4 linked regions of the Saccharomyces cerevisiae S288C genome follow. The gene in region 2 interacts genetically with the main gene of each other region. Each region holds a gene or a part of one and is shown on either strand. Other genes may lie near its edges.

The links.
Region 1: mutations in OCA2 (region 2) and MPH1 together harm fitness more than expected from each alone (negative genetic interaction), as found in Saccharomyces cerevisiae (2 studies listed by BioGRID).
Region 3: mutations in OCA2 (region 2) and RPS30A together harm fitness more than expected from each alone (negative genetic interaction), as found in Saccharomyces cerevisiae (2 studies listed by BioGRID).
Region 4: mutations in OCA2 (region 2) and SNO1 together harm fitness more than expected from each alone (negative genetic interaction), as found in Saccharomyces cerevisiae (2 studies listed by BioGRID).

The regions. Positions count from the first base shown.
Region 1 is NC_001141.2:355,255-365,169, forward strand, and holds MPH1 (3'-5' DNA helicase), read right to left. Parts: upstream 5,143-9,915; coding exon 2,161-5,142; downstream 1-2,160. Other genes in the region: YIL001W (uncharacterized protein), read left to right, coding at 1-227; SGN1 (Sgn1p), read right to left, coding at 889-1,641; AIM21 (Aim21p), read left to right, coding at 5,631-7,670; DJP1 (Djp1p), read left to right, coding at 7,967-9,265; U2 snRNP complex subunit IST3, read left to right, coding at 9,635-9,915. UniProt on the Saccharomyces cerevisiae protein: ATP-dependent DNA helicase involved in DNA damage repair by homologous recombination and in genome maintenance. Capable of unwinding D-loops. Plays a role in limiting crossover recombinants during mitotic DNA double-strand break (DSB) repair.
Region 2 is NC_001146.8:515,678-522,786, forward strand, and holds OCA2 (Oca2p), read left to right. Parts: upstream 1-1,571; coding exon 1,572-2,165; downstream 2,166-7,109. Other genes in the region: YNL058C (uncharacterized protein), read right to left, coding at 86-1,036; porin POR1, read right to left, coding at 2,317-3,168; YNL054W-A (gag protein), read left to right, coding at 3,779-5,101. UniProt on the Saccharomyces cerevisiae protein: Required for normal growth in the presence of linoleic acid hydroperoxide (LoaOOH).
Region 3 is NC_001144.5:710,091-717,570, reverse strand, and holds RPS30A (40S ribosomal protein eS30 RPS30A), read left to right. Parts: upstream 1-4,412; coding exon 4,413-4,415; intron 4,416-4,845; coding exon 4,846-5,034; downstream 5,035-7,480. Other genes in the region: ubiquinone biosynthesis protein COQ11, read left to right, coding at 1-426; GTPase GUF1, read right to left, coding at 545-2,482; MEC3 (Mec3p), read left to right, coding at 2,667-4,091; YLR287C (uncharacterized protein), read left to right, coding at 5,513-6,580; CTS1 (chitinase), read left to right, coding at 7,435-7,480.
Region 4 is NC_001145.3:454,912-462,059, forward strand, and holds SNO1 (putative pyridoxal 5'-phosphate synthase), read right to left. Parts: upstream 3,049-7,148; coding exon 2,374-3,048; downstream 1-2,373. Other genes in the region: snoRNA-binding rRNA-processing protein UTP15, read left to right, coding at 1-645; CTF13 (Ctf13p), read left to right, coding at 914-2,350; pyridoxine biosynthesis protein SNZ1, read left to right, coding at 3,497-4,390; putative GTPase MTG1, read right to left, coding at 4,513-5,616; ATP25 (Atp25p), read right to left, coding at 5,860-7,148. UniProt on the Saccharomyces cerevisiae protein: Catalyzes the hydrolysis of glutamine to glutamate and ammonia as part of the biosynthesis of pyridoxal 5'-phosphate. The resulting ammonia molecule is channeled to the active site of a SNZ isoform.

The sequences.
Region 1 (9,915 bases), on a different chromosome or scaffold from region 2:
TGTTGAGTTCACAACGAATTTCTCTCCGCCAGGAAACTGATACTATTGAACTAGTGGATGACATTAGGTACTATTTGCTCCGAAAATATTCTTTTGAACCGGATGATGTGGAGCTGTTCGAAAACCAAGACGATTTAGAATACCTAAAACAAGTAGGGTATTTGGAGTACAGAAAAGATATGGGTATGTTAGATAATATCCTAGCTGATCTGGAACTTGATGTATAATTCCGCATTCAATAACCTTATGTATTTTTACGCGTCACTGCGAACGGATGAATATTGCCAATGACTGCTGCGCACTCTTAAAAAATATAATGACAATTATAATAAGAAGTATGATACTTTTTCTGTAAAAAATATATATACATATGATTCACGTGAAAATTTTTATATTTTTAATTAAATTTTTATAATATTATAAATTATTATAATATTGATATTTAAAATTAAAAACAAATTATTAATGGTTTTGTTTTCCGAAATGTTTTTTATAATTATTACTTCAGAATAGTTATTTTCACGAATACGAGATACAGGGTAATGAAAACAGGTGTTATCCAAAAAAAAAAATTGATATATTTTAGATACTTTACATACAGAGGCAAGCTTCAGCTGTAGCCAGGTACATAATATTCCCTATAAAGTGATCAATATTTTTTAACGAAAAATTAAAAAAAAAAATCCTTGAATAAAGGAATGAAAATATTGTAACAAGCGATGACATTTCTTTTTTTGATTGTAGTTGTGGCATTTTATATTTGCTTTTGCATTTACCCTATTCTTGAAGGTTTGGATAGACAAGCGAGATAACACCAGTTGTCCTTCAACTTATTCAAAGCAGCAGCTCACTTAATTATTATTAAGTATACACATGAAAGCCTTGTGTTTATTTCGAATCTTTTTCTTGGGTAGAACTTTTAACGTTGTCAGACGGCATGACAACAGGTTTTTGGGAAGTAGATCTAATATTTTTTGTAGAGTCTTTGGCACTGTTGAAGTGTTTTTTTTGGAAGGTTCTATTCTTGTTATTGTAAGGACTCCTATAATAATTGTTCTTATTATATCCGAAATTTTGATTTGGAGACTGATTTGGAGGGTACGGTGGGTAATAAGGGAAGGTATCGGGATTGGGGTAGGCCATTAAGGGATAATTCCATTGCCATTGTTGGAAATACTGGTTTTGCGAGTTGTAATGCCTATTAAATCCTGGAATGTTAGTTCTTTTTCTGGAGACAGCAATTTTTTTGCCTTTAAGTTCTCCTCCATTTAATTGCAGGGCTTTTTCTCTGTATGCCGGACTTTCAAATTCAATATAGCCGTAGCCTTTTGGTGTTCCCGTATTCCTATCATAAAGAAGTGTTATTCTTTTTATCTGGCCACAGTCTTTGAAATGATCTTCTATTTGCTCTGGGGTGACATCCGGAGTGATGTTACCGACAAAGATAGAACGCGAGTCAGCTTCAAGTTGATGAGCGTGTTTTTCCTCCTTGCTTAGCTTTTGCGACACCTGTGGAGTGCCCTCGATAGATAGTTTACCCACAAGTTCATCCAGCTCGAGCTCTTGCTTGTCGTTCTTTTTATTGTTCGAAATTTCAGTCTTTAAGGTTGCCTTAGCATCCACTTTCTCTTCCTGGGACATAACAGCAATTGCAAATGATGACACTATGTGACAGCAGATATATGTTTATGTTAATAGGCCTGGTTGGAGAGCGAAAGTTGAGATTACTTACTTAATCAAAATTAAATTTGAAATTTGCTGCATTTTAAGGTTACTTTTCGGAGTGTAGGAAATTGTTGCGGTTTTTTTTCACCTAACGAATGATTGATAATCTTTTTCATATCCTCCAAGAAACAAGCTGTTTATTATGGTGATTGCCACAAATTGAAGCGCTATGCTTAGTGCTTCATGACAGAAAGGTTTTGCATTGGTAGGCGTGGAAGATTACAGATTGTACTCGTCGTTGGCTCAATTTTTATATTTTGTTGCTTCAAAAACAGTGCCGTATCCTTAATGAATGAAAAATTCTAAAGAAAATAAGTTGATACTAAAAATATAATGTCCTTGAAGTATTTATGCGATATATAGAAAAATCTATAAATACTTAAATATTACAGCAGCGTTATTTTTGTATAGACGCCGACGTATAAGAGTCTCCTATCAAAAATCAGAATCTGAGCCCAGTATGTCATCTAATTCTGCGTTCGATAAGGTAAAAGATTGGGATGAATCATGGTTGACACTGTTGTTATCGACTTGACTTTTATCGTTAACTTTTACAAATTTTTTTTCGTCTCGTAACATGCCTCTCGCCAAACATTTAGTATAGTTCATATCAATTGTCCTCTTCTTATTATCATTACTCTCGTCGTTAAATAACGTAATGATTTTTGAAACTTTGTGACAATGCGGAACTTTTACCCCTTTGGTGTATTGTACAAAATTGGGCTCCACATCGAAGGAAACACCTTCTGGGATATAGCGGTTTCTGAAAAAATTCCAATCGTCCAAACTCAATACCATGTTATTCTTGTCAACAGTACAGCTCTTTTCTTTTTCAAGGTTGTGTTGATTTCCTCGGATGTCTTTCACATTTTTCTCGATTTTAGTTGGAAGACCACAATCATTCACAAATAAAGCCATATTAGGGCGTTCAAAATTATGAAGTGGCTTGAGTGTGGTAAGACTTTCGCCAGTGCGAATAATGGCAGTTTCCAAATCTTTTTGGCATCCATTCTGCCCTTCCGCAATGAAAACATTATTATCATCACTGACTTCTTCATCTTCAGTTTCTAATGAGGAGGAAGCTTCCTCGGTTGAATCATTCTCCAGATTATCCAAAGCTTTAAAAATCTTCCGCTTCTTACTTGGGTTTTCATTACTCGTTACTAGTTGTTTCCCGCCACTTTCATTCACCAAGAACTTATTAATTAAAGTGCTTGCACTAACAATACTGGTCTCAACATTATCAGGCATAAAGAACTTCTTCGGTTTTTTATTTTCCTGAACTCTCTTCTTCTTTGTTATGGCTTTTTTTGGCTTCACCTTTTTGCCCATCATACACTGAGTCGCATAACGAATAACTTCGTCAACATCTTCCATTTCATTAATTATTTCGTTTTCATCATTAATCGTGATCAATGTCTCGTGACATTCCGGAATAATGTCTTCAGGGATTATCCGATCTGATTTTTTATAGTCAATGCATTGCTTGGATATAAGCGCTTGCAGGGTTGAATAGTCTTCCATAGCACGCTCGAATTTGTATGATTCATTACTGCTAAACAGTAGTACTATCTTACCATCTCGTTTTCTGCCTGTTCTACCCATACGCTGAATATTTTTGATTGGACTACTTGTAGTATCATAACAGATTATTAAATCAACTTCTCCGATATCCAAACCTTCTTCTCCAATTGATGTACAAACGAGAACATTATATTCACCCTTTTTGAAATTATGGATAACCTCTTTTTGCATTTTTTGGTTCATTCCGCTAATCTGAGCCTCTTCAGAGCTCCCCGTTCGTCTGGCACTTCTTTCAAGTTTATCATTCGCCGCTCTCTTAGTTCGTTCAGCTTCCAAAAATTTCTCTTGCTCTTGCCTATGCAATCTCTCTACCTTCTTCCTTCCCTTTGGCGCATGTTTTCTTGTGTATTTGACCTCATCAAAACCTTCTTTTGCACGAGCTTGTCCAATAAAAATATGAGGCCTGATTTGATCGTCAGCTACCGAGTCTATGAACTTCACAATTTCAAGTGCGCTTTCTCTTAATTCTGTAAAAATAATAACCCTCGAGTCGGAACCCCTTTTCTGAAAAAAGTCCATTAGTTCATCTCTAACACATTGTAACTTCCCATGACCGACAAACTTTGGATCACTTAAATAATTTTCGCATTGATTTTTGATGTTTTTCAAAATCGGATGGTAATAAAACTCAGCTGCAATTTTATTAGTAGATTTTTTAAGATTATATTTCGTAGTGAATTCTGTACATTTATTCTGGAAGTAATTGAAAAATGTCCTTATTCCATAAATTTTTAATCTCTTTAGCATTTGACCCACATTGTTCAATAACTGTAAAATAAAGAAGTTCCTCCACTTAATTCCTTCAGGTATAGTAGGGTTAGCAATAATTTTTTGGCTTTGTTGCATGGCTTTGAAGGCGTTTATTTGTGAAGGGTCACATTCCTCATATATACCGAGTTCAATTGCCTGTTGAAGCACTGGTTTGACGGCCATACCTAATTGTTCGATTATGTCTTCAATTTCCAACAAAAGGGGCACTTCAATTTTTTCCTTTTTTCTTTTCTTCATATATTTCACGATATCCATGCTTTCTTCAGTCCTAATTTCAATCTTGGAAATATCTAAGTTATTAACCACTTCTTGGACACCTTCCAGGTCAGAGGCTGGTGTAGCGGTCAATGCTAATAATCTGTATGATGAATTGAACCTATCTATGAATTTTACCACATTTGTATACGCAGAGGAGCCAGTAGCTCTGTGAGCTTCATCGATGACAAGACATACAATATCCTTAGGATCCAATACACCCCTCTTCAAGTCATTCTCCACTACTTGCGGTGTGGCAAAGAAAACTCTCTTATTGGCCCAAATTTCTTCTCTATTTTTCCTGCTTTTATCGAGTAATATAGCAGTTTGATCCGAAGGTATTCCTGTTATACCTAAGCATGCCTTAATTTGCTGGGCTACCAAAGGTCTTGTTGGAGCAGTAAAGATTATTTTGGCTTTTTTGGTCCAACGAAAATAATTTAACATTACTGTACTGGCAATGAACGTTTTACCCATACCCGTTGGGATGGCGCATAACGTATTTTGAAACAGTGATTTGTGAACAATTGTATACTGATAATCCCTTACCTCGTAATTTGTAGGGTACACGTAGAACGACAAAGCATCGTAATCAAGCTCATGATGAGTGGGTCCAAAACTGACATCTCTTTGAATTTCTTCGTACACAGTTTTCTGCCCAGGTAAAACGTTATCATGAAGGTCTTTTTGAACTGGTACAGCACGTCTCGTTATAGTTTCCTTCACAGATTTATTGATAGCCTTTTCATACAGTTTATCCAGCTCGTCATCTTCGAAATCACTAAAGTAATCATCTGCACTAGCCATCAGAGAGAAAAAAGGACACTAAAATAAAACAGAACCGGAATGTGTTGAATAAAACTGAAGTGAGCTACTATATCTTGAATCACAATATCTTAGCTCCGTGATAGAGCATAGGGCACCTCTATTGATCTCTTCGTGATGCCCGGTTATATACACACGTAACCCCGTAAAAGCCGTTACCCGGTTTATGTCTTTCTGTGAGCACAGTAAGCTAGGAAGGTCGATGGAGAAGAAGACTCCTGTCTCATATGGAACAACCTTGCAAATTGAGTGCAATTATCCCCTTTGGAGTTTGAATTTTGTGTTAGTACATTCTCCTTTTTTAACTTGTCTTTTCTACCACATGCACAATGAAAGCAATCTTGTTTTACCAGGCGCGAAGCAAAAGAAAAGGAGAAATATTGAGTATATTTTAATTTAAGCTTTCTGATTTAGAAAGTATCATGTTTTGTTGGTGATCTAACAGGAAATCTATTTTGACCGATTATACAATGCCATCGGAAGTTACGCCAAAAGTACCTGAGAGGCCCTCAAGGAGGAAGACATCTGAGCTGTTTCCGTTATCCGGCTCTGAATCAGGAGATATTAAAGCTAATAGCGAGCCACCAACACCAGCAGGAACGCCCAATGTACCAACACGTAGACCCATACTTAAAGCAAAGACGATGACTTCGTTTGAGAGTGGTATGGATCAAGAGAGTTTGCCCAAGGTACCATTGCAGAGGCCAGTTAGACGCTCCACTACTGAAGAACTAAATAATGTAATGAATAACACCAGTAAGGAGTTAGAGGAGATTGAAAGTTTGATTTCAAAGCACAATATACACAATGTTTCCAGGAAAAAAAGTCCAACTTCTGTGGAAGAGGGAAAGGTGGCCGCCATTCATCAAAACGGGCAAAGAAGTGCATCAGATAACAAAACTTCTACAAATCCCTCCCCACTCGAAAAAAATGAGCACGAGGGTGCTGAGGGCAATGAGTCTGCTATTTCACCTTCTAATTTAGTTAACAAGTCTAATAATGAAGTGACAGAGCATAGTGACTCCGAAGACCTTACTGAAAAGCAAAAGGTACATGCTGCCCTAGATAATGAGGCAGGGGATAGAAGCCATTTTGAAGAAAAGCTCATTCCTGGAGATATGAAAGTACAGGTAGATGTTAGTAAGGACGTAGAAGAAGGCAGCCTCAATGCTCTGCCTCCATCTGGAATCACAGAATCAGACGACAAAGCTGAAAAGTTCACTAAACATCCTGAATCTAGTTTAGAAGAGCTACAGAAGCATCAAGAACAACAGGAAGAAAAAATTTTCCAAAATCCAACCGATGAAGAAAGTACTACCTCTTTGAATGAGAAACAAGAAGGCAAGGACAACATGGAAGTGAATTCTCAGCCGCAAGGACCTTCTGATACTGAAACAGTTATAGCAGCAACTAGCTCAAACGTTCCTTCACAAATTGCAAGTGAAGAGGAAAATGACGTTCCAGTGATTCCAAGGAGTAGGCCTAAGAAGGATTTTGAAGCACACGTACAAAAAGAGGAGTTGCCTAACACACAAGAGAAGCGAGTATCAGAAGAGTGTGATTCGACCCTAATTAGTACCGAAGAGGAAAGTAAAATCCCAAAAATTCCCTCTGAAAGACCAAAGAGACGTGCCCCACCTCCGGTTCCCAAAAAACCTTCTTCAAGAATTGCGGCCTTTCAAGAAATGTTACAAAAACAACAGCAACAAGATCTGCATAATAATGGTAATTCTTCAGCTACTACCGCTTCAGCAGATATTGCTAAAAAACACACAGATTCTTCTATTACTAGCGATACCACGAAGGCAGATTTTACGAGCAAATTGAATGGACTGTTTGCGCTACCTGGTATGGTGAACCCTGGACAGCTTCCACCTTCCTTGGAGAAGAAGTTGTCCTCCCCGGATACTGAATCTAAGCTAGGACCCCAGGACCAATCACAGGCAAAAACGGGACCTCTGGGCGGAACTAGAAGAGGTAGAGGACCTCGTGGGCGTAAATTACCTTCTAAAGTAGCTAGCGTAGAGAAGATTGAAGAAGATGACAACACTAATAAAATAGAAATATTTAACAATTGGAATGTTTCCTCTTCCTTCTCTAAGGAAAAAGTCTTAATAGATACTACTCCTGGTGAGCAAGCAGAAAGGGCCTTGGATGAAAAGTCAAAGAGCATTCCCGAGGAACAACGAGAACAATCTCCAAATAAGATGGAGGCTGCTCTTTGTCCTTTTGAGCTGGACGAAAAGGAAAAGTTACCTGCTAATGCTGAGTCGGATCCTCTTTCTCAGTTGCCACAGACGAACGCCGTAGGTAATAGAAAAGCCATAAGTGAGGAATCTCTGTCCCCATCGGAGGCCATCGCCAACAGAGATCAAAACGATACGACAGAAATACAGGAACAGCAGATGGAGGACCAAATGGAGGTTGATATGGAAAGAGAACTCTCAGGTGGCTACGAAGACGTTGATTCTGCCTTACATTCAGAAGAAGCGTCTTTTCACTCCCTTTAGAATCTTATAAATAATATGTATGAATAAACTCTATAGTATGTATCAAGAGAGAAATATGTGAATGACGAGCAAACTAGAGGTGTTATTAATAATAATGGCATAAAAACTAGATTTTATTCTATATATATATATATATATTTCTTCGACTTTTTTTTTTTTTACCCGCACACCCTGAATTTTGTGCTATTTTGAAGCAGAGCGTACTGAACAAATTGGCAGATTTACAAGAGGAATAACAGAGTTATGCTAAATCATTAAGTGTTTCTTGCGGCCAGAAGGGGCATTATACAAAAGATATGGTTGTTGATACTGAGTATTACGATTTGTTAGGTGTGTCTACCACTGCATCTTCCATTGAAATAAAAAAGGCCTATAGAAAGAAATCTATTCAAGAGCATCCTGATAAGAATCCCAATGACCCCACGGCTACCGAAAGGTTTCAAGCAATATCCGAAGCTTATCAAGTTTTAGGTGACGATGATCTTCGCGCAAAGTATGATAAGTATGGAAGAAAAGAAGCTATTCCTCAGGGCGGCTTTGAAGATGCAGCTGAACAGTTCTCTGTCATCTTTGGTGGAGATGCGTTTGCCTCATATATTGGCGAACTGATGCTATTAAAGAACCTACAGAAAACTGAGGAGCTAAATGCTGAAGACGAAGCTGAAAAGGAGAAGGAGAATGTGGAAACAATGGAAGAATCACCTGCAGACGGTAAGACGAATGGCACCACTAACGCTGTTGATGCAGCATTGGGCAATACTAACGAAAAAGATGACAAAAATAAGGCGAGGACAACTTCTGGTAATTTAACTGTACACGATGGAAACAAGAAAAATGAGCAGGTAGGAGCAGAAGCTAAGAAGAAGAAGACAAAATTAGAGCAGTTTGAGGAAGAACAAGAGGTAGAAAAGCAAAAAAGAGTAGACCAATTAAGCAAAACATTGATTGAAAGATTATCGATATTAACAGAAAGTGTCTATGATGATGCATGTAAAGATTCCTTTAAAAAAAAGTTCGAAGAGGAAGCCAATCTTTTAAAGATGGAATCATTTGGTCTGGACATATTACACACAATAGGCGACGTTTACTACGAAAAAGCTGAAATTTTTCTTGCATCCCAGAACCTGTTCGGAATGGGTGGTATATTTCATTCTATGAAGGCTAAAGGGGGAGTATTTATGGATACACTAAGAACTGTTTCGGCAGCCATAGACGCTCAGAATACTATGAAGGAGCTTGAAAAAATGAAAGAAGCTAGCACGAATAATGAGCCTTTGTTTGACAAAGACGGAAATGAGCAAATTAAGCCAACCACTGAGGAACTGGCGCAGCAAGAGCAGCTATTGATGGGCAAAGTATTGTCGGCTGCTTGGCATGGTTCTAAATATGAAATAACATCCACTTTACGTGGCGTTTGTAAAAAAGTACTAGAAGATGACTCGGTAAGTAAGAAAACGCTTATCAGAAGAGCTGAAGCAATGAAACTATTGGGTGAAGTCTTTAAGAAAACTTTCAGAACCAAAGTCGAACAAGAAGAGGCACAGATCTTTGAAGAACTTGTAGCAGAAGCTACAAAAAAGAAGAGACATACATGAAGTTAGCAATCATCTCTTGTATATTAAAAATTCAAAAATTCACTTTTTTTTATTATCTGTATTCAATATAATATAATGTATATAAGATCACACTAATACTGATAATTCTATTCTTGAAAGAAAGACAATAGAACAATAAAGAAGTGATTGAACTCAGTGACAATGATAATTTATGTGATAAGGAAGTGGTTATGGCTGGAGAATTATGCCACACTTAAATGATAAGCTCTTTTACCTTTCTGGGTTTAGGAATTTTTTGAGATTAATACAGATAAAAAAAAATAGGCCGAACATTAATTACTCATACAACTCAAAAAGTGCAGCGTGCAATTCTAGATCAAGAACATAGATAATATAAACAAAATAACAATGAACAAAATTCAGCAAATCAACGATAAAGAACTACAAAGTGGAATTCTTAGCCCGCATCAATCATGGCATAATGAATATAAGGATAATGCTTATATATATATCGGAAATCTCAACCGAGAATTAACAGAAGGTGACATATTGACAGTCTTTTCTGAATATGGAGTCCCTGTAGATGTAATTCTTAGCAGGGATGAAAACACAGGAGAATCGCAAGGTTTTGCATATTTGAAATATGAGGATCAACGGTCAACGATTCTAGCAGTCGATAATTTAAATGG
Region 2 (7,109 bases):
TTTTGGTACTGAATTACACAATTTTTAAGGACTAAAAAAAAAAATGTTTAACCTGAACAACCATGTATCTTAGATGTCAGGGTATCTAGATTATTTCTCTACCATTCAGGACATCATCCAAAAACATCGATGGCGCCTGTCTTTTATGAGCCTTTTTAGGAGAGCTAGTATTTGAGGTAGCAGAAGCGACTGGTATGAGGCCCAAGGAGGATTGGTTTCTCTTATGGTAGCCTTCCATTGAGTTAATTTTCTTTTCCTTTCTTTCAGGTGACGCTGCTCTTTGTGGTCTATTGAGGTTCAGCTTTCTCTCTTCTTCTTCTTCTTCTTCTTCTTCTAGATAGGTACCTACGTATAAAAATGGATCGTCAATAAAAATGTTAGTGTCTTTTGATTGATGGCGGCTATGACTTTTTTCATATTGTGACACTTGTAAAGTAGGAGATATAAATAAGGATCTTCTGTTGTCTGTGAACGGATCCTGAATTGGGTTGAATGGTGAGGCAGCATCCTCGTATTGGCTAGATTCTAATTGGCTCATAGAATCCCAATCATCCTGCATATATGATTTCTCATCATTGATGTCAAAGGGATTGCTTTGTAAAGAAGAACTATGCTTGTGGTGTCCCCTGTACAAATTTTTACTATCATTTGCATAAGAATTTGTCATTGTGAAACGACGAGACAAATAACTGGACACTAACCACCATATAAGAATACTGATAAAAATGGCACCTATGACAGCACCCACAGCAATGTATACAGTTCCATTTGGTTTATCAGCAGCATTTAAAATAAATGGGTTTCCTGCTGTAGATGGGGGTGTTATACTTGCGACAATTAGTGATGAGGAGGATGTTGCTCCACTGGAAGTTGAGAAAGCCGAAGATGTTAACGATGGAAGGGACTTGGAACTCGTTTCGGACACTACACTTGACGTGGGCTTTGACAGGGCGGTTGAACTAGTTGTAGTAGTAACTAAAGTAGGAAGGTCTCTTCTGACCAGCGATACAGACGGGATAAAGTTTTTCTTAACCATCTCTGCCGATGTTTCTTTCTGAACTTTTGACAAGGTATGAGTCTAGTTGATTATAATACAAGAGTGTGGGTATGTTATTAATAAACATTATAAATTATTAACCCATATAGCTGCTAAATATAATTGAAAATCTAGTAATTTCTAATTATACATTTTTTTTTTTTACAAATGTTTTATGATATGTTTACTATTTCCCGCTTTAGGAAATCATATTAAGGGTTTCATGAAAGAATTCTGCAGAGTGATCATTGGAAATCGGCAGAAAGTGAGAAGGGAGGCTGTCACCAGGTTCCCCTATACTATTCATGTGAGTGGTAGCATGCAAAGTAAAGACCCTTTTTCATTTAGTGATTCATCCATGAATAGCTCTTGGTGCTAGCCCAGATTTTTCAGTAATTTTTGTTTTTTCTTCTGAATTTTCCAGAATTAAAAAAAAGATCAGAAAAAAGCGAGAGTTTACTTAAGATATTAAAGTCTAGTTGATATATCAACAAGTGAAGGCAAAATACCAATAGAGTGCACGTTTCTTGATGCTATGAAATACATACCCCCATTAAATTTTTCGCCAGTGGTGAGCACGGATGTATCGTTATATCGATCGGGATACCCGATGCCGTTAAATTATAGTTTCATCAAGCATCAGTTACACTTGAAGACCATAATATATATTGGCGATAAAGATAGGCCTCTCGAAGAATATCAAAGCTTCCTGGAGTCAGAAAAGATAAAATACTATCACATATTTATGGATTCAAGCCGCGATGAAGGAATTCAAGAAAGAATGAACCAGGTCTTGCACTTGGTGCTGGATGTCAGAAACTATCCCATCTTAGTGCATTCCAATAAGGGCAAGCACCGTGTTGGTGTAGTTGTGGGAATCATAAGAAAGTTGTTACAGGGATGGTCCACTGCAGGTATATGCCAAGAGTACGGGTTATTTTCTGGTGGGATGAAAGATGGAGTAGATTTGGAGTTTATCACAATGTTCGAAACCAATCTGAAAATACCGAGAAACGTTATCCCTGGCTTTGCTAAACACTGCTTGTATTTGAATGAGCTAGAGGCTGCGGAAGGAAGTGATGATGAGTCAGGAAGTGAGTCTATTCTCACTGCCAAGCAACCAATATGATTATGAGAACCAGCCGTTACAAAGAATATTTTCTGTCATTAATATATTTGTATAAATAAAACAACAAGTCTAAAGATCAAGTAGAAAAATGGAAACAAGAACGAGCACATATATGGTATATAGTGAACATATATATATTAGATATATACGTTCAAGCGTCGAAGGACAAAGACCAACCTAGCTTGTGAACAGGTTCAGACAACTTCAAAGCATCGAAAGAGGAACCGACACCCAGAGTGACGCCAGGTCTTAACAATTGCTTGTAAGCCAAAGTGACAATACCGGAATCGGACACCTTAGCCTTAACTTGGGAAGATGCATCAGGCAAATATCTAGTGGCGAATTCGATGTTGACATTGGAGTTAGGTAGTTTGCAGTTCATTGTAGCCTTAGCACCGACCTGTAAAAAGGCGTTGACGTTTTGGAAGAAGTCAACGGTAGTTATTTGCTCGTTGTTCAATGTAGCGCCCAAGGAGTAGTCTTTGGCGAAATAACTTAAAGCCATGGCATAACGAGAAATGGAACCGGCGCTGATATCGTAACCAAACTCTGCGCCACCAACAATACCTTCGTGGGCCATAGTTAAGTCACCAACAAATGTTGGTGACTTCAAACACAAGTCAAAGGCACCTCTTGCGGTGAAGAAAGGTTGTGTGAACGTAGTGTTTAAGACGGCGGACTTGGCGACGCCTGGAGTCAAAGAAGTGATCAATTCGTTCTTTAGACCAGGGGTCAAGTTGGCAAACTCTAATTTGGTTTGCAAGTTGTTTGTGTTAGACCAGCCTTGAGTTAGACCCAAGCCGGTTTGCTTGTCATTCAACTTTGCTTCCACGTTAGTAGACAGTGGACCGTCTTTGACAGGCTGTTTAGCCTTCAATGAGAACTTAATGCCATTGGCGGTTGTTGTTTGCACATCAAAGGCAGCTGGGGTAGCATGATAGAAATCCTTGTTCAATAGGTCATTGATATTTCTGGAGATATCGCTGTAAACTGGAGGAGACATTGTTGAGAGGTTGGTTTGATTTTTGCTTTGGGTACGCTTGGCTGTTTCGTGTTGGGAGAATCCGTAGCACTAATGAGTAGTGGAACGAGTTGGGGGTAGTTATATAGTAGATCAACTCGTGCTCTGCTGGCTATAAAAGGGGTTCTTTGTTGAGGAACGGCCGAAATGGCGGTGTTTGATTGGGCCGCAGCCGGCAAAAAGCACCGGAACCGTGAAAAAAGCTCGTCTGACGCGGAAACGTGCGGCAAAAAATCTCCGCGACGGGGAATTGAACCCCGATCTGGCACGCGACAAGCGCCCATTCTGACCATTAAACTTGTTGGAATAAAAATCAACTATCATCTACTAACTAGTATTTACGTTACTAGTATATTATCATATACGGTGTTAGAAGATGACGCAAATGATGAGAAATAGTCATCTAAATTAGTGGAAGCTGAAACGCAAGGATTGATAATGTAATAGGATCAATGAATATTAACATATAAAACGATGATAATAATATTTATAGAATTGTGTAGAATTACAGATTTCCTTTTATGGATTCCTAAATCCTCGAGGAGAACTTCTAGTATATTCTGTATACCTAATATTATAGCCTTTATCAACAATGGAATCCCAACAATTATCTCAACATTCACCCATTTCTCATGGTAGCGCCTGTGCTTCGGTTACTTCTAAGGAAGTCCACACAAATCAAGATCCGTTAGACGTTTCAGCTTCCAAAATTCAAGAATATGATAAGGCTTCCACTAAGGCTAACTCTCAACAGACAACAACACCTGCTTCATCAGCTGTTCCAGAGAACCCCCATCATGCCTCTCCTCAAACTGCTCAGTCACATTCACCACAGAATGGGCCGTACCCACAGCAGTGCATGATGACCCAAAACCAAGCCAATCCATCTGATTGGTCATTTTACGGACGCCCATCTATGATTCCGTATACACCTTATCAAATGTCGCCTATGTACTTTCCACCTGGGCCACATTCACAGTTTCCGCAGTATCCATCATCAGTTGGAACGCCTCTGAGCACTCCATCACCTGAGTCAGGTAATACATTTACTGATTCATCCTCAGCGGACTCTGATATGACATCCACTAAAAAATATGTCAGACCACCACCAATGTTAACCTCACCTAATGACTTTCTAAATTGGGTTAAAACATACATCAAATTTTTACAAAACTCGAATCTCGGTGGTATTATTCCGACAGTAAACGGAAAACCCGTACGTCAGATCACTGATGATGAACTCACCTTCTTGTATAACACTTTTCAAATATTTGCTCCATCTCAATTCCTACCTACCTGGGTCAAAGACATCCTATCCGTTGATTATACGGATATCATGAAAATTCTTTCCAAAAGTATTGAAAAAATGCAATCTGATACCCAAGAGGCAAACGACATTGTGACCCTGGCAAATTTGCAATATAATGGCAGTACACCTGCAGATGCATTTGAAACAAAAGTCACAAACATTATCGACAGACTGAACAATAATGGCATTCATATCAATAACAAGGTCGCATGCCAATTAATTATGAGAGGTCTATCTGGCGAATATAAATTTTTACGCTACACACGTCATCGACATCTAAATATGACAGTCGCTGAACTGTTCTTAGATATCCATGCTATTTATGAAGAACAACAGGGATCGAGAAACAGCAAACCTAATTACAGGAGAAATCCGAGTGATGAGAAGAATGATTCTCGCAGCTATACAAATACAACCAAACCCAAAGTTATAGCTCGGAATCCTCAAAAAACAAATAATTCGAAATCGAAAACAGCCAGGGCTCACAATGTATCCACATCTAATAACTCTCCCAGCACGGACAACGATTCCATCAGTAAATCAACTACTGAACCGATTCAATTGAACAATAAGCACGACCTTCATCTTAGGCCAGAAACTTACTGAATCTACAGTAAATCATACTAATCATTCTGATGATGAACTCCCTGGACACCTCCTTCTCGATTCAGGAGCATCACGAACCCTTATAAGATCTGCTCATCACATACACTCAGCATCATCTAATCCTGACATAAACGTAGTTGATGCTCAAAAAAGAAATATACCAATTAACGCTATTGGTGACCTACAATTTCACTTCCAGGACAACACCAAAACATCAATAAAGGTATTGCACACTCCTAACATAGCCTATGACTTACTCAGTTTGAATGAATTGGCTGCAGTAGATATCACAGCATGCTTTACCAAAAACGTCTTAGAACGATCTGACGGCACTGTACTTGCACCTATCGTAAAATATGGAGACTTTTACTGGGTATCTAAAAAGTACTTGCTTCCATCAAATATCTCCGTACCCACCATCAATAATGTCCATACAAGTGAAAGTACACGCAAATATCCTTATCCTTTCATTCATCGAATGCTTGCGCATGCCAATGCACAGACAATTCGATACTCACTTAAAAATAACACCATCACGTATTTTAACGAATCAGATGTCGACTGGTCTAGTGCTATTGACTATCAATGTCCTGATTGTTTAATCGGCAAAAGCACCAAACACAGACATATCAAAGGTTCACGACTAAAATACCAAAATTCATACGAACCCTTTCAATACCTACATACTGACATATTTGGTCCAGTTCACAACCTACCAAAGAGTGCACCATCCTATTTCATCTCATTTACTGATGAGACAACAAAATTCCGTTGGGTTTATCCATTACACGACCGTCGCGAGGACTCTATCCTCGATGTTTTTACTACGATACTAGCTTTTATTAAGAACCAGTTTCAGGCCAGTGTCTTGGTTATACAAATGGACCGTGGTTCTGAGTATACTAACAGAACTCTCCATAAATTCCTTGAAAAAAATGGTATAACTCCATGCTATACAACCACAGCGGATTCCCGAGCACATGGAGTCGCTGAACGGCTCAACCGTACCTTATTAGATGACTGCCGTACTCAACTGCAATGTAGTGGTTTACCGAACCATTTATGGTTCTCTGCAATCGAATTTTCTACTATTGTGAGAAATTCACTAGCTTCACCTAAAAGCAAAAAATCTGCAAGACAACATGCTGGCTTGGCAGGACTTGATATCAGTACTTTGTTACCTTTCGGTCAACCTGTTATCGTCAATGATCACAACCCTAACTCCAAAATACATCCTCGTGGCATCCCAGGCTACGCTCTACATCCGTCTCGAAACTCTTATGGATATATCATCTATCTTCCATCCTTAAAGAAGACAGTAGATACAACTAACTATGTTATTCTTCAGGGCAAGGAATCCAGATTAGATCAATTCAATTACGACGCACTCACTTTCGATGAAGACTTAAACCGTTTAACTGCTTCATATCAATCGTTCATTGCGTCAAATGAGATCCAACAATCCGATGATCTTAACTTCCAATCTGACATCGAACTACATCCTGAGCAACCGAGAAATGTCCTTTCAAAAGCTGTGAGTCCAACCGATTCCACACCTCCGTCAACTCATACTGAAGATTCGAAACGTGTTTCTAAAACCAATATTCGCGCACCCAGAGAAGTTGATCCCAACATATCTAAATCTGATATCCTTCCATCAAAGAAGAGATCTAGCACCCCCCAAATTTCCGATATCGAGAGTACTGGTTCGGGTGGTATGCATAGATTAGATGTTCCTTTACTTGCTCCCATGTCCCAATCTAACACACATGAATCGTCGCACACCAGTAAATCTAAAGATTTCAGACACTCAGACTCGTACAGTGACAATGAGACTAATCATACAAACGTACCAATATCCAGTACGGGTGGTACCAATAATAAAACTGTTCCGCAGACAAGCGAACAGGAGACTGAGAAAAGGATTATACACCGTTCACCTTCGATCGATACTTCCTCATCAGAAAGTAATTCACTACACCACGTCGTTCCTATCAAAACGTCAGAT
Region 3 (7,480 bases), on a different chromosome or scaffold from region 2:
GATACATTTAAACAAAAAATCCTAAAGAAAAGCAAAAAGGAGCAAGAAAAAGCAAATCAAAGATCTTTTACGTATATTTCCGCCGATAAAGGTTTCCCATTGATTCCTAGTGGCTATATTAATTCGAAAAGAGAGGCGGAGATTGAACTAGAAAAAATGCAGAGATATTTCAGGCCTATTATTGTGAGACCCGGTTTTATGTTCGATGAGCACAGAAATGCAATTGGACCACGGTCTTTTATTCATACTGCACTTGAACTACTTTACTGCGGTAACAAATTTCTATTGAGAAATAAGCTGCAGCTTTTGAACGACTTGATTAGGCCAACAGTATCCACTCAGCAGGTAAGCAAATCCGTCCTGAAAAATATCGAAAACCCAGATTTTAAAGGGGTAGTTACACTTGAGGAAATACTTAAAGCATAATGATTATGCCATTATTATATTTATTAATCTATTTTTCTCTTTTATTTACAAATGAAAAGTACTTAACTATATACAGCTTGGTATAATTTTAAAATGGTAATAACAATAATATGCAATGCTAACGGCGCAAAAAAGCCTGATATGCCTCTTGGTTGATTTGAATATTACCTACAGTTTTCATATGCTTTTTACCCTCTTTCTGTTTCGCCAAAAGTTTTTTCCTTCGTGAGACATCAGAAGCATGCAGCTTTTGGAGAACATCTTTTCTTCTTGCCTTAATTGTTTCTCTAGCTATTATCTTGTTATTAGCTCGGGCCTGTATAACGACCTCATATAATTGTGATTTAACATACTCTTTAAACTTCTTCACCCATTCTCTACCCACTCTCTCTACTTCCGATTTATGAAGTACTCTTGACAAGGCATCAATCGCATTTCCATTAACCAAGAGTTGCAGTTTTACAACATCAGAAATTCTATAGCCAGCATCCTCATAATCTAAAGAGGCAAATCCTCTGGACACCGATTTTAATTTACCAAAAAAGTCATCAACTAGATGCGATAGCGGAAGGTAATATTTTAACATCACTTGTCCATTGGTGTTTAGGTATGTTATATCAATTTGTTCTCCTCTATTACTATCGCATAAGCGTATGACACTACCTAAATATTCCTGGGGCAATGTCATAACTGCCTCTATAAACGGTTCATGGAAAGCAGCAACGTTCACCCTCTTTGTTGCTCCGTCTGGAAACTCATCCGGATTTGTTATAAGCTTTTTCTTACCATCGGTAAACTCCACCAAATAAGGAACTGTGGGTTGAGTAATGATCAATTTCGAACCATACTCTTTTTCTAGTCGTTCACGAAAAACAGATGCATGTAAAGATCCTAAAAAGCCCAATCTCCAACCTTGACCCAAAGCATTGGAGGTCTCACGTTCCAAAGTAACTGACCTATCGTTGAGGACAAGTCTACTCATATCATCATCCATGGCTTTGAATTCAATCCCATCAGCCGGGAAAGCACCCACAAATACCATGGGTTTTTGTTCTTCAAATCCGGGAAGTACTTCCGTTTCATTTACTTTACTTAAATGCATTATAGTATCTCCAATTTTTGCTTCTTTAGAATCCTTCATTCCCAGCACTAGATAGCCAACCTGTCCTGTCTTTAGCGTACCTGTAGAGGTTCTGTCAGGATACATGATTCCAATATCTTTGACTTCGTATTTTTCTTTTGTCTGAGCACAAATAACCTTGTCATTTTTACGTACAGAACCATCAACAATATTCACTAGAAGAACCGCTCCTAAGTATGCGTCGTACCAAGAATCCACTAATAATGCTCTGAAGGGTTTATCAGGCCTCCCCGTTGGTGGTGGTATACGATCAATTATAGCCGGTAGTAACAGTTCCTCTACATTTAATCCTGTTTTAGCACTTACTCCGATTATATCTTCCTCGGGGAGCTCAAAGTTATTCACTATCTGATCCTTTACCTGTTTAACATCTGTAAAATTTAGATCAATTTTGTTTATTACTGGAATTAATTTCAATCCTAAACTGAAGGCTAAATAAAAATTAGCAACCGTCTGTGCTTGTATGCCTTGTGATGCATCAACCAAAAGAATTGCTCCCCCACAAGACGCATATGACCGTGAAACTTCACCTCTGAAGTCCACATGTCCTGGCGTGTCAATTAAATGTAAAAGATAGTTTTTTCCGGTCCTCTTATCTTTATAAAACATCGAACATGTTTGCGCCTTTATAGTAATACCTCTTTCTCTTTCGACTTCCAATTTATCCAAAACTTGTTTATTTCTCGCATTGGGATCGATGACATGCGTTATTTCCAGCAGTCTGTCACTTAAGGTTGACTTCCCATGGTCAACATGGGCAACTATAGAGAAATTTCTGTAATTTTCGAGAGGTATTTGCTCGATCTGTGCTTGTAACTTCTGTGCAGGGGTAGTCGTATGGTTATATCGTAAGAAATATGCGTGTCGTTTATAACACCGTATATGTCTCACTGGCCTAATTCTAAATTTCAGCATTTTTATGTGCAACTAGTTTCCCATATTCATGGCTCTTTTTCAATGGTTGCGGCTACAAATATAGGCGAGTTATACTTGCCCTCGTCTATTATTCAACTTTTTTATTTACATCAAAATAGCAACATAAACATACGGAGATGATGAGAGAAAAAAGAAGACAAAAGGTGTGTCTTAATTCAGTTAAATGAAATTAAAATTGATAGTAAATGGTTGTGAAGCACCTGATGATTATAAATTGCTAAGAACTACTATCAATACAGTTGCTTCGCTACGAAAGACGGCTATCTTAAGATTTAATAGTGAAAGATTGACAATAATATCCACTCCAAAATCATCACTCAACAGCAGTAACAACGGTACAATATTACGAGGGGATACTGGTCAGCTTTGGTGTACCATTCCTCATGATGTATTCAGATTATATACAGTTATATCAGCTCGCGAGCTCAATACAATAACAATGGAGTGTAATTGTGATTCTTTATTGAGTGTGTTTAAAAGGTATGATCGAGTAATGAACCAAGGATCTTCCTCTAATATGACTATAAAACTACAGTCAATGCCAGAATGGAATACAAATAACGGAACACTTTCAGGAGGAACAGCAGGAGGCGTAGATACAACCTCAAAACCGAACCCCATTTGTGCTCTAGGTATAACATTCGAAGAAATTGTACATACTAGCGGCCCAAATGACGCTATAGTTATGAATGGGGGAGTGGATGAGCACAATGGTTTACCAACCACAGTAGGCACAGGAAATCTACTCGCAAGCAATAAGGTTATCATGCATTCGTTCAAAGTACCTGTCAAACTATTATTCCGAGCACAAGATACGCGAATACAAGAGCCAATGATTAACTATATTCAACTGATGATGTACAAGCTGCCACCAATATCGGGCGAGTTTGGCTCCGCCTTCCACGGGTTTATTAGACGTGTTGAACGGTACAGTAATGTCAACCACATTCATTTAATGGGAGTCAAAAAAAAGGAGCATGGAAATGAAGGTGATGATGTAGAACTTAAGATAATTGTGAATGAATTAGATTGGCATTTGGAAATATGCTGGAATGGACCCTTAGACTCTGTGATACAACGCCAAGAAGGGCTCACTGACAATCCTTCCCAAAACCAGCACATCGACACAGACGGCCGGCAGGAGGAAGGATCTCTTCCGATTATCGAAGCGGATAAACCGATGTCTTCACTATATACCAATACTAGAGATCGAGAGATGGAAGAAAATATCCGCTACGATGAAGATTTATTAAGAATTGAGGATAGCTCGATCGCAGATACGCGGGGAAACATTTACACAGCTGATACTAGCGGTGATACTGAATTTAATGACATATCCGTTATGGTGGAAAAGGCTGAACAGGAAAGTTCGTCCACACATGAAGTAATCATCCGTTGCAAAGATTGGAAGGTGTGTTCCAAGTTATACGCTGCATTTGAAGAAGTTGTTTTGGCGATTTCTCACGACGAATCCTGCGTATTCCACTGTTCGTTGGATCGTGGTAGCTTGGAAGATAGCGAAGATGTGGAAAAACCAAGGGAAAGAGGACAAATCATATATTATATAGCAAGATCGAAGGGCTTGTAAACCCTACAGCGGTACATTTCTTTGCTACGTTGCTAAGGAAACTCTTTAAATCTGACATGGCTGAGAACTGCAGAGTTGCAGAGTTGCAGACTATCACATCCGTACATATGTATAAAAAAATCCGTGCTTTACATACTAACTGCTTTTCTTTTTTCCGTTCGAAAAAAAAAAATGTCGTGAGGTTGTCGGAAACCTCAGAAAAAATAGATAGAACAAAACAGCCTTACGAACGGTATGTTGCATTTTAAAGGCTACATGAACTGCACATTAAATTTGCCACTGTAATAATCTTCCATATCCCCATACAAAAACTACGCAAATATGGTACGTAATGCCTCATTAGGATTTTAAAATATGAAAAAAATGGACGTTTCAGCGAGGAATGAATAACAAGAAATAGCTAATTTGAATATATTACTGGTGTTTCATATCTATATATACCGCAGAAAAAGAAATAAAACGCAATATATCTTTAAACTGGCTCCACCCTGAGAATATGATAGGAAACTTTTTAAATTTGAGTTCTGTTACATCAAAAACGTAATTGCTTGACACAGATTTTTCGAGGGCAACAGCGTGGACTTAACATAATGTCGAGTTTAATAACAACATTTTTTGACGGAGAGTTAAAAAGGCTTTGAGAAAATAGCAGAGTGAAGTTTATTTTTAGCATCCTTGCTGATACGCCAAATAATTCAAAAATTCACTATACTAACATGGTCATTAATTTTTAATATTAATATTATTTATTTAGGCTAAAGTTCATGGTTCTCTAGCTCGTGCTGGTAAAGTCAAGTCTCAAACACCAAAGGTTGAAAAAACCGAAAAGCCAAAGAAGCCTAAGGGTCGTGCTTACAAAAGATTATTGTACACCAGAAGATTCGTTAACGTTACCTTGGTTAACGGTAAGAGAAGAATGAACCCAGGTCCATCCGTCCAATAAGAAAATTAACAGTTGTGGAAAAGGAGCTTAAAAGTAACAAGAAACAAAATAGCAGTCATGCCATCTTTACTTCAAGATAGTTTTTGACTTGTATTTGTATTTCCGTTATGCGTTTTTTACTTTAAATATAAAGCAGTATTGAAATTATGTAAGTAGTGTTAACTATAAATTATTTCTTTAGGACTTTAACTTCGCAAAATTATGCTATTCATATTATCGATTTACTTCTTTGCTGTCTTGGTGTGATGCTTTTATTAATAAGGAGGATCTTGCCGTACCTAGGGTTGGCAAACGTTTTTCTAGTTGTTTTTGAATGGGCGCTTCATAATGTGGCAATGAAAAAAAAAAAACTAGAAAAAAACTGCAATGATCTTGACGATGACATGAAGCCTCCTTTTAACAAAATCCATTGAGGTCAACAAGCATCACCAGAGACGCCTATTATAAACTTTATAAGAGAAATACCAGTTATACAATAATGTCTACTGGAAGCAGTGATAGAAAGGATGACGTCAAATTATTGGAACTGCTGAATTCTATAGATGAACAGTTTTTAGTGCCATACAAAAAGCCGGAAGACTTGCGTAAAATCTCCTCTACTACCAAACTACAAGGTTCCACCCCAACTAAGGAACTAGACAAATTAGCCTCTGTATTGAAGGCACATTGCACAAAAATAGGTATTGTTTGCAAGCCAGGAACTTTTGATAACAATCATAAAGTTGTGATTACCGAAATCCAAAATTTTAGTAGGCCATTATTCTACTTACTAAGTTTATTCCCTTTGTTTTACAATAACAAGGATTGCCCCAAATACTTTACAGACCAACTGGATGAAAGTACGCTACAATTGCTCGATGGCTTGAGAGATTTCATTGCCGAATTACAAGAAAGATTGAAAAATGACGAAAATGCATCTCTAGACAAAGAAAGGTTAACCTCAGTTGGTAAAATATTCAATGCGTGCGATTCTCTCTCTAATTGTTCCAAGGCTGGACCTTATGGGATCCTAGCAAACATCTTAAAAGATAATGTGGCCATAATGGACGATACAATGAATGAAATAAAAGAGTGGCTTGAGGAACCCGATTTTTCAGCAAACTCGGACGATATATTTTTGGATTTTGAGGATTCAGAATCCGAATCTGATTCACAGAAAGAGGAATTTGACCAGGAAAAGGTCTATGAAAATATAAAGTTGTTTTTCGATGGGTTTACGAGGAAGATAAAGCTAATCAAATTACTTGTATCAACTTTCAGGAAAACTCTGGTGTCAAAAGATTTTACTCCTAAGAGGAATCAAGCAGAAACTTTAGACAGTATACATACATATCTGAAGGAAATACAGTTACTTTTGGATGAAGTGGTATCCACTGTACAATTTGAGCCGAAGAACTTTACCAATGAGGAGGTAAAAGAAGAACAGGCTGCATTAGTTGCAGTAACTAAAAAAGTTCTTATCCAAATGAGTAAACTATATGAAGGTGATCCAAAAAGAAAGAAATGGATTGACACATGGGAGATAAAATTCAATGAATTGTTTTAGTATATTTTCTCTGAATGTTACAGTGCATGGTATATAATCAGTCTTGTTTAGAAATTCATGCTAAAACGGATACAAGAGATATCATTGTGTAGCTGCGAGATCCACGGTCACGGCAAAAACCATGTCCATTAATATAGTGGTTGGTTGGTGGGAATATGTGGGATATCCTCAACAAAATCGAACTTATATACGTCATTCTCGTTAACAAATTCAAATTTTGTAGTTGTCATAGTAACGCAAAATGAGATGCGTGGGTGTGATTCCTGCTTGTTGGTATTTTTCTTTGCCGCTGGTGAAAAATTGGAAATGCTGGTCCCTTGAAAAAATAACCAGCCTCGCCTTAACAGATATGTGCGAGTAAATATGAGTTTCTAACGTGCAATGTTTGGTGTTTGTTTATTTGTTTATGTGTTTCAGATGTTGAGTAAACATTAGCATTGGTGTAAGAACTAAGCCCCTCGATGGTTCGGTGCAGGATTCAAGGAACAAAAAAAAACTAATATGGACGGAAGTATTTGGCTTCATAGGCATTGGTCAAAGATATAAAAAGATGCAGGTATTAGGTCCTTGGATGGAGGAAAAACGTCTCACTTACCTTTCCTTGTATAATTTATAGAATGGACAACAACAATACATTACATTAAGATTATATCAGTCAAGTTTTTTCATAACATTGAAGATCTTTCACTCATTTAAGACTCAATAACATAAAAAAAATAAACCTGTCATTCCTTTGAACCTTTTTATATCCAAAAATAATAACTGTCGCTCGTTTCACAACCTACCTTTTTTAAAACCACTCTTTTTCCAATACATTGAAATTCTAATTTAAATATAAAATAATTAATAATAGAATGTCACTCCTTTACATCATTCTTCTATTCACACAATTCTTACTAC
Region 4 (7,148 bases), on a different chromosome or scaffold from region 2:
GGTCCCGTACTAAGTTGTGCTGTCTCCCCTAGTACCGCACAAGGGAATAGGCATTTAGTAGCAGGTTTATCATCAGGACTACTAGCCATTAGAACTAAAAAGAAAGAGAAACGTTCTTCCGATAAAGAAAACGCACCCGCCAGTTTTAATAAGAATGCGAAAAGTAATAACTTCCAGAGAATGATGCGAGGCTCGGAATACCAAGGTGATCAAGAGCATATAATCCACAATGATAAGGTAAGATCTCAACGTCGTATGCGTGCATTCGAAAGGAACATAAATCAGTTTAAATGGAGCGAAGCACTCGACAATGCCTTTGTACCAGGTATGGCCAAAGAGTTGACACTTACTGTTCTTCAAGAACTACGCAAACGTGGCAAAGTTCGTGTAGCGCTATATGGTAGAGATGAATCTACATTAGAGCCGCTACTGAATTGGTGCTTAAAAGGTATTGAAGATGTGAGATCAGCATCTATTGTAGCGGATTGGGTCGCCGTGGTTTTAGAATTATATGGGAATACGTTAGAAAGCTCTCCAGTTCTTCAAGAATTGATGATAGATTTGAAAACTAAAGTTAGACATGAAATTCATAAGTCTAAAGAAGCTCAAAGAATTGAAGGTATGCTTCAACTTTTAACGAGTTAAGGAAATATTAGCATATAGATTTTAATTTGTATCTATTTTATAGATATTCAGGCATACATATATATCTCTTTCTCATTGTAATCGAAAAAAATAATATCTTCTCTTTTTATTGAAAAAAGGAACCTGTATAAATTTCATTTTAGAGTGCTTTGCATTTTGATACGTTTTCGCGTTTAACTACCTTCGAGGGCTTGAAAACAAAACATTGTGAGATGAGATGCTATCAACAGAAAGCTGACTGTGAGTCCCCAGAAGTCCATGTCGCTTGATGCCTTCTTTCAATCCTGTTAGATTCTTAGAGTTACCAATTGACATTAGAAAAGAAGTTTACTTCCATTTAGATGGTAATTTTTGCGGAGCACATCCCTACCCAATAGATATATTATACAAATCTAATGATGTGGAGCTTCCAGGAAAACCAAGTTATAAAAGGTCTAAGAGATCTAAGAAATTATTGAGATACATGTATCCTGTTTTTGCCACGTATTTGAACATTTTCGAATACTCTCCGCAACTCATTGAAAAATGGCTTGAGTATGCATTTTGGTTGCGCTATGATTGCCTGGTTTTGGACTGTTTCAAAGTAAACCATCTTTATGACGGAACGCTTATAGATGCATTAGAATGGACGTACCTTGATAATGAACTTCGACTGGCCTACTTCAATAAGGCCAGTATGTTAGAAGTTTGGTATACTTTTAAAGAGTACAAGAAGTGGGTGATAGACAGTGTTGCTTTTGACGAGCTTGACTTACTTAATGTAAGTAATATTCAATTCAACATTGATAATCTAACTCCACAACTAGTAGACAAATGCTTATCAATTTTAGAACAGAAAGATTTATTCGCAACAATCGGGGAGGTACAATTTGGACAAGATGAAGAAGTAGGAGAAGAGAAAGATGTTGATGTTAGTGGAGCTAATTCTGACGAAAACTCCTCACCTAGCTCCACAATTAAAAACAAGAAAAGGTCAGCATCCAAAAGATCACATTCAGATAATGGCAATGTGGGAGCAACGCACAACCAACTAACAAGTATTTCTGTTATAAGAACAATAAGAAGTATGGAATCCATGAAGAGCCTGCGGAAGATCACTGTGAGAGGAGAGAAATTATATGAGTTGCTAATAAATTTTCATGGGTTCAGAGACAATCCTGGTAAAACGATTAGTTACATAGTGAAACGTAGGATAAATGAAATACGCCTATCACGCATGAATCAAATTTCCAGAACCGGACTAGCTGACTTTACAAGATGGGACAACTTGCAAAAGCTTGTATTAAGTAGAGTAGCTTACATCGACCTGAATAGCATTGTCTTTCCCAAAAATTTTAAATCTCTGACAATGAAACGTGTAAGTAAAATCAAGTGGTGGAACATCGAGGAAAATATACTAAAGGAACTAAAAGTCGATAAGAGAACTTTTAAATCGTTGTACATAAAGGAAGATGATAGTAAATTCACAAAATTTTTTAATTTACGACACACAAGAATAAAAGAGCTTGACAAAAGTGAAATTAATCAAATAACATACCTTCGATGTCAAGCAATAGTTTGGCTATCTTTTCGGACTTTGAACCATATCAAGCTACAAAATGTATCTGAAGTTTTTAACAATATCATCGTACCTAGAGCATTGTTCGATAGTAAACGAGTAGAGATTTATCGATGTGAAAAAATCTCTCAGGTTTTGGTAATATAAAAATGTGGAAAACCGGCGGTATTTTAATTAGAAACAAACTGTCTGATAAACCAATCATGAAATCTTGTATCACTGTCAGCAAGCTCTGGATGAAAAGAAGTCACAAGGATATTATGATTTTGCGTTGCAGCTACAACCACATCCTTTCCATTCACTGGCAATTCATATAAACTTTTAACCGCGATAGGATCAAGAATTCTCTCGATCACGGGTGCGCGAATAAATGTAGCAGGAAAATTATCACAGCCAGGTATGAAATTGGAAAAATCACACTTTTGTGTAAAAGATTGAGCTTGTCTTCCAAATGCGTTTCTTCTCACGTCGACCTTCAACACACCTAAAGTCTTTACTAGGGCACTTTCGTTTTCTAATTGCGCGCTTAAAAAGATGAGACCAGCACAAGTACCCCAAACTACCTTTTCCGGATTATGAACAAATTCGTATAAACAAGGATATAAGCCTGTTCTTTGAGCGATGAGGGACATCGACGTAGATTCTCCTCCGGGAATAATTAAGGCGTCGCACTGGGCTAGATCCTCAGGAGTTTTTACAGTTTTGATTTCTATCTTTATTCCGTAGTCGTTTTCAGCCAAACACCTTTTTAAATGGTTGGTATGCTCCAAAAAGGCACCTTGCAACGCCAAAACCCCAATTACTTTCATCGACTTTCCGGACATTGTACTGTGGGTTTTGTGCATACTTTAAGATATGGTTTTTCTTTCTATTTAACGAAATGAAATAATAAGAAAAAAAAACCTGGTGGCATCAACGTGATTTTTGGAAGAAAGAATAAAACATTCAAAGAGTTCGTGACCAGTTATTGCTGATAAATGCCGTTTACTGACTCAGTTGGAATTTATGGCACTAGTTGGAATAGCTCATCATGACATAATGACTCAGCCGACAAGGGTAAGGGTTGAAAGCCGGGCTTTTTCACTACTTTTCAGGTAGCGCCGCCATTTCTTCATGACTCTGACACACTCTGCCGCACCGTTAGTTACGTCTGTAATTCTGGCTGCGAAGTACCATTTTCGATATAAATAGGAGGACGCTGAGAGCTATGGACGAAGTCTATGGTATTGTTGGAGAAACCTTTAGGAACGACTAGCAAATATACACAGTACTAATATTCAGTTAATTATCACGATGACTGGAGAAGACTTTAAGATCAAGAGTGGTCTCGCCCAAATGTTAAAAGGTGGCGTTATTATGGATGTTGTTACTCCAGAGCAGGCAAAAATAGCTGAAAAATCTGGTGCATGTGCGGTAATGGCATTAGAATCCATCCCAGCAGATATGCGTAAGTCAGGAAAGGTTTGCCGCATGTCAGATCCGAAGATGATTAAGGACATCATGAACTCCGTTTCCATTCCCGTCATGGCTAAGGTAAGGATTGGCCATTTTGTTGAAGCTCAAATTATTGAGGCATTGGAAGTTGACTATATTGACGAAAGTGAAGTCTTGACTCCTGCTGATTGGACTCACCACATTGAAAAGGACAAATTCAAAGTTCCATTTGTTTGTGGCGCTAAAGACTTAGGTGAAGCTTTGAGAAGAATTAATGAAGGCGCCGCTATGATTCGTACCAAGGGTGAAGCTGGAACGGGCGATGTCTCTGAAGCCGTCAAGCATATAAGGAGAATTACAGAGGAGATAAAGGCGTGCCAACAATTGAAGAGCGAAGATGACATTGCAAAAGTTGCTGAGGAAATGAGGGTACCAGTTTCTTTGCTGAAAGATGTTTTAGAAAAAGGTAAGTTGCCAGTAGTAAATTTTGCTGCAGGTGGTGTAGCAACGCCAGCCGATGCCGCATTGTTAATGCAGTTGGGTTGTGATGGTGTGTTTGTTGGCTCAGGAATTTTTAAATCATCTAATCCTGTAAGGTTGGCCACTGCAGTAGTAGAGGCTACCACTCACTTTGACAATCCCAGCAAATTGTTGGAAGTATCTAGTGACTTAGGAGAGTTAATGGGTGGTGTATCAATCGAATCTATTAGTCATGCTTCCAATGGAGTAAGACTTTCCGAAATTGGGTGGTGATTTCTTTGAACAGGTATTTTGAGCATTATAACACTTTTTCCCCCCTCAACTTTGTATTACTCGGTACACATTGTAAAATGATCTAATTATTAGATAAGCTTATGTATGCTGGATATTATTTACTAGAATACTTGATTGGGGTTCCCTTTTAGTTTGTTAGACAATCCCTCATACGAAAGATCTCCTAACTTTTCCAATTGATCATTTACATAGTTTTTATAAGAAAACTCGTCATTATTCAACAGTACCTCAGGGTCAAATATGATACCCTTTCCATGCAACCTCCATTTGTTAGTCCACTCGATAGCCGTTGATTTTTCATTTTGGCTTTTATTCACTTGAAGCCTTCTTAAAACATCATATATATCATTTGTGGGAGAATTGGTGCTTCCAGGGTAAAGCTCTGTTCTTCCATCGTTCAAATTTTGCAAGTTCATTAGGTATAAAAGGTAATCCGCTTGAAATATTGGATCTACAAGGTTATTTTTAACACTACCACACAACGCCAGTCCTAGCATTCTATTATGATCTGAAACGCGACCGGGAACACCGATTCCTGGAGTATCTATCAAGTATATTTCATTTCTTGATTCCGTATTCCGTGAAGTTACTCTAATAACCTCGCTTGTGGCTCTAGTAACACCAGCTTCTGCACCAGTTTTGGCTACTTTCTTAAATTTTCTTCCCATATTCACTTGATTGTGAAAAATTGTCCTCAAGCTATTTATTAAAGTAGATTTTCCAACATTTGGCATGCCAGTAATCAATGCTCGGTATCCCATAGGTAGATATCCGCCATTTGTTTCTAGTTCGTAATTTTGCCATTCTAGTATTTTTAGTAGATTCCTGACGTCAGTTTTGTTTCGGCAATCCAGTAAAATAAACTTTTCTCCCAGCTCTTCATGCCAATTCTTTAACTTTCCTATATATGGCTTATTGCCGGGCATAAGATCCTTTCTAGTGTATACCACTAATTTCATCACATCGTGTTCCTTTCTTGCTATTCGATCGAAAACCACATTCCTTGTAGATAACGGGGCACGTATATCACGTAGTTCTATTATCATATTCATTTGAGGAAGCAACTTTTCAAATGTTTTAAGAGCTTTGACTTGGTGTCCCTTGAAATCAGTGAGAGGCATACTGTACTTTGGAAATTCATATCTTGGTGTGAAGGATGAAACGTTGGAAATTATTTTCCTAGTTCCTCTCACATTTATGTGCATTTCTGTATTTGATTTGGCTTTTTTGCATTCAGGTCTGAGTAATGAGCATTATCATTCGTTCTTTCTTCTCCTAATAACTAAACCAAATTGTTTCGAAAAGACAAAAATTGTGTACTTTTGACATGATGGTCCGTGTTCTTTGATCTGCGGCAAAATGAACCTACCATGTGGCAGAATTAAATATTTGATTCAAATATAAATAAGGCGAACGACGAGAGATTAAGATATTATATACAGGTAATACTATTGATTGTTTGTTCCACGGACTAGGAATTCTTCCAATGTGGAATTCTCCATTCCAGCGGTTTTTAATAACGCTTTAATGGAGTTGCATAACTCCGGAGTTACGTTAACATTTAAACGTCTGATCCATAGCAAATGACCATTATTTACGATTTTCGATATAACGTGACTATCACCGCTTTGATTGATAACATTTATAAATTCATTCCAGGGCCTTTTGTCCTGACCTTCCCCTTCCGTTGGTGTGATAGCTTCCCAGACTTGAAGTAGCTTATTCCAGTCTTTGATTTTGGCCAAGTTTTGCAATATTGAGACAATCATGCCTGAAGTCAACTTATCTCCAAATGTTTGGAAAATGTGGTCTATTGTCTCGTAGAGTGATCTCAATTTTACCCGTTCATCCGCGACCATGGAATTTAAAAGAAGGGATATTACCACTTCATCGTAAACAACTGAGCCATCGTCCTCTGTTTGTAGACCTTTAAATAGGTTCAAAGCTCTGATAATCACCCTATTTTGCTTTACTAGGTTAAAGTATGAATGACTAGAATGCTGCGTTTTCAAAACCATTTCTAAAAGAGCGATTAGATCTTCCCTTATTAACTCTTGCCCCAACGATTTTTTTAAAAGTAGATAATCCTTGAGGAAAACACGATCTGAATAAAATTGTGGGTCTGCTTTGTTTAGAAGTATCGCATATTCTAGTCGTAGTGGCCAATATGCAGCCGATTGATTTATGGTTAAAAAAGTTGAATGTTCGTCAAATAAGGACTTCCATTGAACAACATCTACTTTCCTCTCTTGTCCTACCAAATCCTTTAAAGTATTTTTAACATGCTCCAAAGTACGTATATTGTGAGTTTCAGTACCACTACTACTCTGAATTATCTTATTGGCTCCTTTGAAGTCTTCCTTTTGTAGAAAGTATCTTAAATTACTTAGCCCGTTTGGGTTGATAGTTGAATACCTTCTCCTTTGCTGGGCCAGTCTTCTTAGGCCTAAAAGAATATTATTGTTGCTTGAAATTTCATTTACCCCTGAAATAGTAGGGACATTACCTGAATCTATATTTTGGAACTTAGATTTCTCATTTTCAGGTGCATACAGCTCTTCTAAATTCAATTCATTACGCCTTCTCTGTGTCAAAATATTTACAAAAATACCATCGACACGACAATCAATCATATACCAAGCCTCACTATTTAAGTCTTTTGCAGAGCATTCAGAGCTTCTACCTAATAGTTTACTAAGGTTGGATTTTCTTGCTAATCTTCTTTTTCTTCTACTTT